3 linked regions of the Arabidopsis thaliana genome follow. The protein of the gene in region 3 interacts with the protein of the main gene of each other region in a pairwise test. Each region holds a gene or a part of one and is shown on either strand. Other genes may lie near its edges. The genes, in order: RAC6, SCAR2 and SPK1.

Region 1 (3,754 bases), 7.8 Mb from region 3:
CACTCTGATCGCTGCATCAAACACGCCCTTCACGTTCTGCAGTTATAGTCACATTGTTTTCATCAAAAGATGAAGAATCCAACACCGAAAAGATGATTCATGAGATGTCTTTTATTCGTTTACCTCTTGTGATTTTGAACTGCACTCGATGTAAGCTGGCGCTCCAATTAGCTTCTTCAGCTCCTCTCCCTTCCATGCAGAGAGGGAAAATGCTTAACGGTGGTAAAGCTGATAAAATTGCACTGAGGAAATAACTGTATTCTTACCTGAACAGTGGTAATAGGGACAGCACCAGGATGGTCGATGAAAAACTGTTTGTCATCTCGAAGATCTGACAACAACCAAGGTTAGACAATCAAAAAGGCCAGGATCATGAGTTGACTGAAGATCTTGCAAGTGTCTTTTATAAAGGTATACACTTGCTATACAGTAGCTATTTCATTGGAGGATGCTTAAAGGCGTGTGTTATAGGATATGGTTGCTTTATCACAAGAAGTGCAAGATACAAGAAGAAGCCTGTTGACCAATGATATTCTCTGAAAACTACCCTCAGTTTCACCTAACGAATACATCTTGAACATGTACAAGTTTTAACCACAATCAAGAGAAGGTGAAGTTTTATGTCCACTAATGTCATGATATATTATACCAGAGCAGCTTAATAAAGTGAAAAGGAAAATGGCAGTGTAAGCATGGGAATCAGACATATATATAAATAAATGCATAAACAAGGACAAATGTGAGAGGAGGAAGTAACCTAGTTTGGTTCCAACAAGGACAATTGGGACACCAGGAGCATAGTGCTTCAACTCAGGAATCCACTGTAAAAGAAAAGAAGCATCAAAATTTGGAACTCTCAATTGTTAAATAGTCGACCAGTTCGGACGAAACTGACCTTCTTGGAAACATTCTCATAACTAGCCTTACTAATGAGAGAGAAGGCAAGAATGAAAACATCAGCACCACGGTAACTCAAAGGTCTTAATCTGTTATAGTCCTCTTGCCCTGCATAAACCAAAAACATAATTTCGACCGATTCATCAAGGAAAGCTCTCTCACCAAGGATTATGAATTGGATCATCATTCATTACCTGCAGTATCCCACAATCCAAGATTCACCGTGGCTCCATTAACAACCACATTTGCACTAAAGTTATCGAAAACAGTCGGAACATAATCCTGTTCCAATGGAAATGTATACAACATTTTTAGTATGTATGGATCCCAATTCATATATGGCACAATCAGAATCAAATGAATCAGATATCAAAAAAAGGAGGGAGAATGATTGATGAATACCGTGGGAAAGGTGTTGCTGGTATAAGAAATCAGCAAACAGGTTTTACCAACAGCTCCATCACCAACGGTGACGCACTTTATGAACCTTGATGCGCTCATTGCCTCTTCTTCTTCTTCTTCGAGCCAAAATATGTCACAATTTACCAAAAAACAAAAGAGATCAACCTCAGATTTAAACCTGAGGAAGCCAGAAACACCCACAATGTGAAGCCAATTCCTCCGAAACTTCGACCATTATCTTTCAATTAACCATCTCAAAACCCTAGATATGTATAATGTGGAAACAAACCCCCCAAATAGAGAAAATCAGAAATGTGAAGAAGGAAGGAAGATGAATAAACAAAAGGGAACGTGAGGACGATGAATTGGAGGATGCGAGAGAGAGAGAGAACAACAACTAGAGAGAGAAAGAAAGAAGTAGAGAAGAAAGTGATGGCCGGAAATAATTGCCATTGAAGCGTTCGATTAATCTCAGCCATTCAACCTTCCGACTGTTTTGCAATCTTTTTACTTTTTTTACTTCTTCTGTTGTCTTTTAAATAATTACTATTTTACTTCTTCTTCTTTTTTCTGTTTGATTTTTTAGTGTATATTCAAATTAATTTATTTATCTTGTATACAAAAAAGTAAAATAAAGGAGTTGCACATAATGTATTTTGTCTTTGTTGTTTAAAATGCAAATAAGAAAAATTAACACTGGCTAAAATTATACGTGTTTTTAACTGTCTGTAAAATTTCTAGTACGATTTGTTTTACTATTCTAATTCATTTTTTTACTAGTTTTTCCGGATGCTCACCAAATGTGAAAAAATCTCTAAGTTATGATTCAATATTTATGAAACCAATCAGCCAATTGCGGTACAATAAAGTTGTAATGCACTAGTTCTTCCGCATACTCGCCAAATTTATGTTAAAATTTCAAGGATGTTTGATGATATTGAATGTGGTTAGTTGAATTTGCATGTTGGCTAGTGAGAATGTGGTGTATGGACCAAACCTGAACTTATTTGTATGTCAACAAAGTGTGGTAATATTTTCTGCCAAAAATTGCAATAATCTCAACTAACAAATATTTTACCGAGTATGTAAAATGTCAACATTGGTCATATTTGCCTTTCGTGAGGAAAGATGTCTATGCTAATGAACTTATTCGGGTCAACGTAACCTTCCTTGATAAGAAAACCTGCGACAGCGAGAACAAAAACGTTAAGAGTTGGGAATCTTTCACAAACCATGTAATTAATTTGTCGGAAAAAGTTAGCATTTGAAAATGTTCAAAGTAAAAGTTTTTATTTGATGTGTGTACGATGATACAATCACAGTTTTGATAAACCAGGATTCGTGGAGTTGGAATCAGTTTTATCAAATCAACATTCCAAAATTACTAACAAGTTTGAAAATATGCAATGACAAAAAATCATAAAAATCATAAATACACGAGCTACATATGGATGAATGAGAGAGTTAATCTATAAAATCCGACCAAATAACTCACCAAGTCTACGATTTATTATATGGCTTTTAACAGAGTAACGACTGAGAGAGACATATAAGAAGAGCATTGATGAAACTAACCCTGAACATCACGGCGAGTAGTCAACTGGAAGTCCAAGATGATACCCCGGCGCAACAAGCCCGCTATCACCGCCAAAGGTTGCCGTGGATCGTTTGTCGTGACTGTGACGGATCATTTATCTCTTCTCTCTCTCACCTGTAATTGTCAGAAACAGTTTAGATGGCAGAAATTTCTCAAAGATAAATTACACTATAATAACTCTCTTTAACATTATGACTACAATTCCCAAAATCAAGATGTTTCAGAAAATACACGGCTCAATTCGTCAAACAAAAAGGAGAAACATCAGATTCTTACCAAACCCTAAAGCAGAGTCTCAAAGCAGAGTTCTTGATTACGATGATAGTATATAATGAAATCACGGGGAAATTGGGTGAACGCTCTCTGTTTTTCTTTCTTTGCGTTGGTTGTAGTGAAGCTTGATGAGCCTTCCATTTCTAGCTATTTGCTTGGAGAGAAACCTGCAAGAACACTCGAAAAAGAAAACAGAGGAAGATGTGAGTTTAGACAAAGTGAAAATAGTATGATGCGTAAAACTGAAACTGACGAAACTTTAGTGAGAAGAATAGACCATGAAAGTGTTTCGATCAACAACATAAGTCGTAGAAAAGTAAGGAAACATCTAAGAATTCTTACCAATCTTAAAAGCAGAGTTCGGCTAGTGACTACGAGAAACCTTGGACGAACTTTGTTGAGAGGAATGAAACTTGCTCTCGATTAACTTTGGATGAACTTTGAGCTCTCTGACTCTCTCTCTCTTTGGTTTTTCAACTAGAAAAAAGACTTTTGCTTTCTGAAACTACGAGAATAGTAAGCGATTATACAGAAGAAGAAATGATTGTGGGAAGTAAGTGAGTGAGCACGAGCCACTTATATAGG
Region 2 (3,754 bases), on a different chromosome or scaffold from region 3:
GAGCCTCTAAATGCTCCTCCAAAAACAATTCATGCAATCTGTGCCAGTTGAATAATTGAAACCAGCCATTTTTAGTCACAGTCAGATACCAATATAGGAACTACATATATATCATAACAGAAATGACAAACACACAAGACATAAAATAGATAATACTCACTTGGCATGTGATGATAATGCATTTTCAGGTGTCCCTCCATTCCTCCACTGAGATGCTCTCCTCTACAAGAGAATAGAAGGAAAACTATGAGAATCACAAAATGGAAGGTAAGATTACACATTCAAAACACCATGAGCATAAGAAAATCTACTATTCAGAAAATCTACCATGTAATGGAAACCAAAATATAACCAAGAAGGATCACACTGCAACCCATAAGCTACAACCTGAACTAAGAAGCTAGTACCTTTGCTTTCTGTGATTTTTTCTCTCTCTGAATATCATCCCATGATTCTTCATATGAAGACGTTTCAAGCCTAACAAACGATGGATCGGTGTAGCGTTTCAAACAAGCCCCAGCTCCGGAAATATCAAACCTAATCAAAACCATCAGAAGATGTTACATATATCCTTCTCTAACAAACGACTAAAGAAGAAGTCCTATCAAACAAGGCTAAATCATACTTGTCCAGAAGAAATAGCCTTGGAGGACCTCGACATTCCTCATAAGAATCCATCACACAACGAGGTAAGTCACCACTTGTAACCACACTCTGTTCCAATTGTAGATTCGGATGCCATTCCACACCTGAAATAGAGTCACAGAATCATGTTGAAATAATCCAACATCATAGTAGCTGACCAGATCATGAATGTTCATAGCAATCTAACCTTTGTTAGAGAAAAACGGCGAATGATCGGTTTGACACAGTAATGCCTTCTCTATAGAAGGAAACTCTGCTTCCAACTGTTGCACACGAGCCATTAAACCATGGCTTCTAGAAGCAGTAGCCATTACTTCTTCGTGCAAGTCATGAAACATCTCAGCAGCAAACCTTCATCACAAATTACATGAATTTAAAGACAATTCCATCAAAAAATCAAAACTTTTTCCACTTCCACAACCAAATCCAGATTCATCAAAATTGTCGCTTTACAACAACGGATTCCAAAACTTCGAATTCGATGCGCTTAGAGATCAATTAGAGAAATTTCGATTGGAGAGAAACTTACTCAGCGAGATCACCGAGTTGACGCAAAATGCCAACGAGACCAGCCATAGCGACTCCTTCAAGCAGAGCTTCAGGGTCATCTTTATCAGCAGCTTGATACAGATCCGGATCTGCTAATCCATACTCGTTACGAGATTGGTACCTCGTCAACGGCATTGTTTGAGCTTCTCTGTCTGATCAGCTCGCTGATACTTTTGTTCAAATTCTAAAGGTAAGAACTTTAGAAAGAAGAAGACTAGAAAAGCTTCTCTGTCTTCATTTAAGTAGTGACCGACCACCATTAGATATGTGACGACATCACTTAGCTGGAAACTAAAACGGACTTTCTGTGGATTCAAGACGGCGGATATAGGTAGGGGCAAAGAGAGAGAGAGAGAGTCTGAGAACCTCAACGCTAAAAGACTTTTTAAGAAAACATTTCTTTTTCTATTTTTCGATAGCCAGAAATACTTAAAAAATTGTTACTTTTAGTGAAAAATTCTTACAAAACCAAAACCTTGTTGCAATAAAACCTGCATTTAAGACCAAACCCCTCGGGAACCTGATAGTTTCAGGCTTGAGGTTTGTCCAATTGTGATCCCTATCGAAACCAAACACAATCTAATTAAAGTCATTTTTGAGAAACGGATGAGAGTTAATTGAAAGATTAAAAAGGGAGCGAAGAGTCTATTTGAGTGTCACTGTTACTTCTCTGCAGGAATATTAAAAGACGTTGAGTTTCGACTACAGCCTACAGGTATGATTCGACTTCTCTCTTCTCACCTTAAAGTTTCTGTCTTTATATTCTTCTTCGCTCGTTGTAAAGCAATTCTTATTTGAGCTCCAAGTTTGAGATTTTTTTGTTTTATCTTGAAATCGTTTTTGGTTGATGTTGTTGTGAGTTTCAGGTTTAGACATGTCTTATATTCCACCACATAAGAGGCATTCGAAGGATCCGACAAAGCCTACCCCTGTTCCAGATTCTCTTGTTACAAAATTCAAGAAGAACCTTGACTTTAAGAGTAGCACTAGCAGTGTTAAACGCAACAAGATTATCTATTCAGGAGATTCCATTTCCAAATGGTTTCTTGTTGGTTCAAATGGAATTGAGGACGATGTTCCTTCGTATGTTAAGTTTGTGCCCTTGTCCTCAGATTCTGTCGAGTGTAGAAAAGGAGAAAAGCCTTCAATACTGATGAACAACAATGTCCAAAATGGTAAGAAACTATTAGTAGACTTTGGCTATGTGTTTGACAAAATGAATATCATCTAGATGCTGAAATAAACAATACTATTAACTATTTTGTTTGTGCTATTATCGTTTTTGCCAAAAGAAGATGCATTGTATCTATGTTGAGTATGGTTTTTTATATGTTTATATTCAGTGAATATGAATATTGGAGAGAGGAAGGATGAGAGAACTCAGTGGCTATTAGTAGCTGAGAAGGTTATGGAGGATCTTGTGTTGGCATATGAGCGAGTTAAGACTGAAATGAAGGAGCATCATCATGTATCGAGACTGGTTGCTCGGTTTGGTAAAATTTTCTTCTATGGGTAAGCGATTCACCGTCTGATCTCACATTTTGCTGTTTTCAGGAATGGGTTTATATTTTTTCTAACATATACAACTTTAAACCAGGAGTCAAGCTGGTCCTGTGGCTGAATGTTCACTAAAAAACTTGAATAAGATGTTCTCTACTGATCTCCCAATGTCTTACTTACAACACATAAAATCTAATGTTGTACCAAGCCATGGATTCTCTATTGATAAGGAGAAGGAAACATACACTGTGAAGGTACTCGTTTCATTTTCTTAGATTTAGATCTATACTTCGAATGTCATTTGAATGTGCTAATTTGGGTTTGGCTTCTATTTTTAGGTATCGCATTATTCTCGTCCTAATGCAACCATCAACTGTAAATGTACCCGTAAGGAAGATGGACGGCTCAGTATGTACAAGGCAAGTCTCGAGTTTTATGTGTGTAGTGACTACAACCAATAGTAAAATCTCTTCTTTATTGTTCTCGGACTAGCAAGAAAAACAAACAAGAATTTGATAGATGTCACATTTTTACTTGGTCTTCCTTTAATATCTAACTTTGAATCTTGAGTTTTGCTTTTATATAGGTCGACCTTAATCCTGTAAGGCATTTGGTTGTTGATGTGTCATGCATTGATAAGAATCTCGACATGAGACTAACGCTCACCGCTAAGAGGGAAATAACGTATCTCAGTGTAAGTTCAAGTTTGGTATATATATTTTACAATATATGGATAAATAATATGCTCTTCTTAGACTTAGGTTGTGTGATCTTTCTTTGATCGGCAGGATAAAGAGATAGGTGACATTAAAGCGCTATTGGAATCAGCAACTGTTGATCCAAATGTAAAAGGCGGTTTAAGGTGGCCGTTTGGTAAAGCTTTATCTGAAGATGGATACAAAGAATTTGAAGTTTGTCACGTTAGAGCTACTATCTACAAAAATAAAACTCTAAGGCTTAGGGTAAGAGAGACTGATAGATTCAATGAGACGACTGGAACAGGGGAAACCAAGAGGGAGGTGAGTTTGACGCTTAAAGACATCGACACTAAAATACAGGT
Region 3 (3,754 bases):
TAGCCTGCAAGAAAATGTACAAGGGGCGGCAATTTCGCAAAAATGACGTGAGAAAAAACTGAAATCACCTTTTATATAATCATGAGAAGGGAAGAGGCAAAAAGAGGACAGTTGGCTCTAATCAGTTACTTACATCCTGCATTTCCGTCGGCTGAATCTGGAAATAAAAATCCTCAGAGAGTTTCTCCTTCCTCTCTTGATTGTACAATGCAATCGAGCCAAAAAATGGTTCTGCAGGGATGCAAGAGAAATAAAGAAGGAACTTAAAGAAGTTGAAATAACTAAAATTACAGAAAATAGACAGCAGTTAGTCAGAATCCTCACCAACTAAGCCAGACTGAAAAGCTAGAGACAAAACTCTGACAGAGATCTTCAATCCACTGTGAAGATAATAAAGAGGAACAGAAGTACAAATCAGACAAAGATAATAAGATCAGGTAAAGCATAGTGACATGCAAAAAAAAAAAAACCTGGAATAGCTAGCTGCAGGAGATTCAGGAGTTCTCTGACCAAAAATCATAGCTCTTTCATTTTCCCAGTCAAAAGCTGGTTCATAAGCAGGTAAAGGAGGTTGCCCAAAATGCTGAAAAAAAAAAAAAAAAGCAACACCTTCAAAGTAAGAACCAAAGGATGAGAAATATATAACAGAGCAATGAAGTGAGTAAAAGAAGACACCTTAGAGGATCCAGGATCAGAAAACGGCCTCCCGGAAATACTGGCAACATCCTCCTCAATAGTTGCACTCCTGGCACTAGCAAGACGAATCTCTGAAGAAGCAGAGAGTTAATTGATGTACAATAATTGACAAAAGCAAAAAAAATAAAAATAAACAATGCATCATAGTTACCAGTCTCAGTATCAGTATCAGGTCCTTCAAAAATCTGAGTCTGGAAAGAATCAGGTCGAATATTTTCATAGTGACCGTATTTGTTAACATCTTTAACCCATTCAGTGCCATAACATTGAACCAATTGATTCAAATGTGGCCATTGTTCCAGATTCTCATCAAGCTGAAACAAAAGAGAAGAAACACATTAACGAAAAGAGAGAGAAAACGCGAATAAAGGTTGAGGAGAGTTTAATTACCAAAGGATCGAGCTTAGGGAGAGCAAGAGGCTGACGAGGTAGCTTACGAAATCGAAGACCAAGATTGTTGTTCTCCATTGAGATAGATCTAATACAATGTGAGGTACTACTACGCCATTAGAGAGAATTGGGGATTTGTGAAAACCTAGAAATGGGAAAAGGACATTGTTGGAGTAGTAAGTAGATCTGAGTGGGGGAGCTAAAGGAGGAGAGGAGGATGAATCTTTGTCTTTACGCAGAGAGGAAGAGATCCGTGAGAGGAAGCAGTTGGGAGAAAAAGTGAAGATTACTCAAGAGGAAAGCAAAAGTCGAGCTGGAGCTGTAAGTCCAACAAGAGTCCAACTCTACTGTCCCTTTTTTCTTTTTAAATAACAAAAGAGTCAATCATTGGGACGACCAAAGACGATGATACCTCACCTGAACCAACTTAAAGAATTGGAGTAAGTAGTAACCATTTTCACCAAAAGTCATTCCAATTCTCATTATACCAAACAAAATGGAATTAGAAAGTATACGGCTAAAGAATTTAGTTGTCACACTTTATTGAAATTAGGATTGTTGATTTGTTTCTACGGATTCATGTTGAGATAAACCGTAAACGAGTTCATAGTTACCTTTGGTATCTATGAATCGGTGAATCCCAATCTTTAGCCATTGTTTCAGAGTTGTTGCCATTATAGTCTACCATTGCGGCCTTTTTATATATCATTCATGTTAGCATTAGGGTTATAATTTCTAAAAATTGATCACCTCTTTAACTTGTGCCTAGAATGTTAGGCAGACCCAGCCAAAAAATTAAGTGGGTGAAAAAACGTTACACTGGTTAACATAATTATTGGGCTTCGTGGCTTCTCTCTCGTTGACGGAGAACTTAACGGTGTGTGATTCCAAGTCGGATTAGAACCTCCGTTATATATCAATGGGAGTTTTGGCCGCTTGTTGCTGTTGAGTTGTGTTGTCTTTGATTGAAACGACGGCGTATACGTCCATTTTGTCCGTGACATATTCGATATGGTTGACGTCACTAGCTGATACAATTTTGAGCTCAAGAGTTGGGTTCTCCACGGCTCTTTGCAACTGTGATGAAGATATTTTCGAGAGATCTAGTATTGTTTGTTCTAATCTTGGGAAAATGTCCAAGTATACAATGATCTATGAGATTCAAGTTAACCAGTTTCTCATTCACATGAATCTTTCCTTTCTCATGTTAAAACTATCTCGCCATTTGGGTTCCCTGTAAAATATGGTTGTCCGGATTTTACTCCAACTAACAAATTTAGATAGAAAGAAAGAAGAAGCAACAAAATAAAACTAATGCCGAGTAAAAGAATCAATTTGCACACTCCAACAGATAAGATAAACCGAACAAGTTTGCGGATACACAAACATGTGAGGTAATGCTGCTTTCAGAACGTATTTATTAAAAATAAAGAGGAGGGTTGTAATAGAGTAATGGAGAAGAAGATAAGAATCAAGTATGAATGATCTTGTAAAGGGTTTTGGTCTTTCTTCACATCCCTGATCATCCATCCAGCTCACTAGGAGTGTCTGTCACTATAGTGTGAAATACAAAATTTGGAAACGTCTTTGTTACGTCTCTACACAAAACACAACATACAAAAACATGTTAGTCCCGCACGAAGAAGATAATAAGGCAAATAACATGGCTAGCTTACTTGAGATGTTGAAGGCTCATGTTCTGTAACAGAGAGGGGTGGCGCAACACAAGACTCCTCCACTCTTCCTTATCAATCTTCCCGTCCAGTTTAGTATCAGCTTCTTCAAATGTCTACACACACCAATCAGTTTTTACATCTCTTGTCAAAGATTAAATATGAGAATCCTAGTTAGTGTCAATGGAGGAGATCAACCAAACCCACCTTGTCTATGATGCTCTCAATCACATGATCAGAAAGGTTCATGCCAGATTCAGCTAGAGTCCGCACAACCATTTGCTTCACCTCCTGTCTCTTTATATAACCTTGCTGATTCAGATCATACAGCTTGAAAGAGACTGCAGAGACAAAAGATGAGCTTGATCCAAGGTTTGGATATGACAAAAAAAAAGAAGGTCAAGTCTCTCTCGACCACTTACACTCAATCTTATCCTCAAATTTAGCATTAGGGTGAAAGACCGAAAGTGAACGAGCAAAGGCTTCAAAATCTAGAATCCCAGTATTCTTGGTATCAAACAAGTCAAACACCTGCAAAGCTTGAAGTATGAGTGTACAGCAAGGAAACTCATATAAGTGAGTTACAAGTCTATCTAATTTACCCTATCAGCAAAAAGGCTTCTCGTTGTGTTCATTTTGAATAGTACCAATTGAAATTGTTCCTGCAATATATTTGAAAGGATCCTAGTGAATGTAGAGGAACAGAGAGATATAGTACTCGTGTCCGACTATGGATTCTTGCATACCTTGTCGATAAGCCCGTTTTTGCTAATGCTCTTGAACAGTTCGTAAAGAGCTTCAATCTCATTCACTGTAACTGCATTTGGTACATAAAGCCATTGTTGGGGTTGTGACAAATAAAAATAGTAAAAGTAAATGTAGGGGTAGACACATACACACAGTGCCTCTAGCCACATCCTTAGGGTTCTGACGAACCTTGGGAGGATCAGCATCACAACAAGTCAACAGAATTAAGGCTAAGTGCTTTAATCCAT

What was found.
Region 1: the proteins of SPK1 (region 3) and RAC6 interact in a two-hybrid assay, tested with the Arabidopsis thaliana proteins (one study listed by BioGRID).
Region 2: the proteins of SPK1 (region 3) and SCAR2 interact in binary tests that used the Arabidopsis thaliana proteins (3 or more experiments, as listed by UniProt).

The regions. Positions count from the first base shown.
Region 1 is NC_003075.7:17,024,117-17,027,870, forward strand, and holds the start of RAC6 (RAC-like 6), read right to left. Parts: upstream 1,751-3,754; 5' UTR 1,399-1,750; coding exon 1,300-1,398; intron 1,180-1,299; coding exon 1,092-1,179; intron 1,006-1,091; coding exon 896-1,005; intron 822-895; coding exon 758-821; intron 332-757; coding exon 267-331; intron 190-266; coding exon 124-189; intron 37-123; coding exon 1-36. UniProt on the Arabidopsis thaliana protein: May be involved in cell polarity control during the actin-dependent tip growth of pollen tubes.
Region 2 is NC_003071.7:16,093,125-16,096,878, reverse strand, and holds the start of SCAR2 (SCAR homolog 2), read right to left. Parts: upstream 1,645-3,754; 5' UTR 1,330-1,644; coding exon 1,175-1,329; intron 997-1,174; coding exon 833-996; intron 750-832; coding exon 626-749; intron 538-625; coding exon 408-537; intron 223-407; coding exon 161-222; intron 39-160; coding exon 1-38. Other genes in the region: AT2G38430 (uncharacterized protein), read left to right, coding at 2,069-2,369, 2,538-2,706, 2,792-2,948, 3,033-3,113, 3,281-3,388, 3,483-3,752.
Region 3 is NC_003075.7:9,239,897-9,243,650, forward strand, and holds the start of SPK1 (guanyl-nucleotide exchange factors;GTPase binding;GTP binding protein), read right to left. Parts: upstream 1,734-3,754; 5' UTR 1,701-1,733; intron 1,504-1,700; 5' UTR 1,165-1,503; coding exon 1,087-1,164; intron 1,011-1,086; coding exon 848-1,010; intron 768-847; coding exon 676-767; intron 584-675; coding exon 471-583; intron 381-470; coding exon 325-380; intron 232-324; coding exon 134-231; intron 5-133; coding exon 1-4. Other genes in the region: CBL6 (calcineurin B-like protein 6), read right to left, coding at 2,609-2,684, 2,763-2,875, 2,967-3,100, 3,182-3,290, 3,362-3,421, 3,506-3,576, 3,656-3,754. UniProt on the Arabidopsis thaliana protein: Guanine nucleotide exchange factor (GEF) for Rho and Rac. GEF proteins activate small GTPases by exchanging bound GDP for free GTP. Controls actin polymerization via the two heteromeric complexes WAVE and actin-related protein (ARP) 2/3.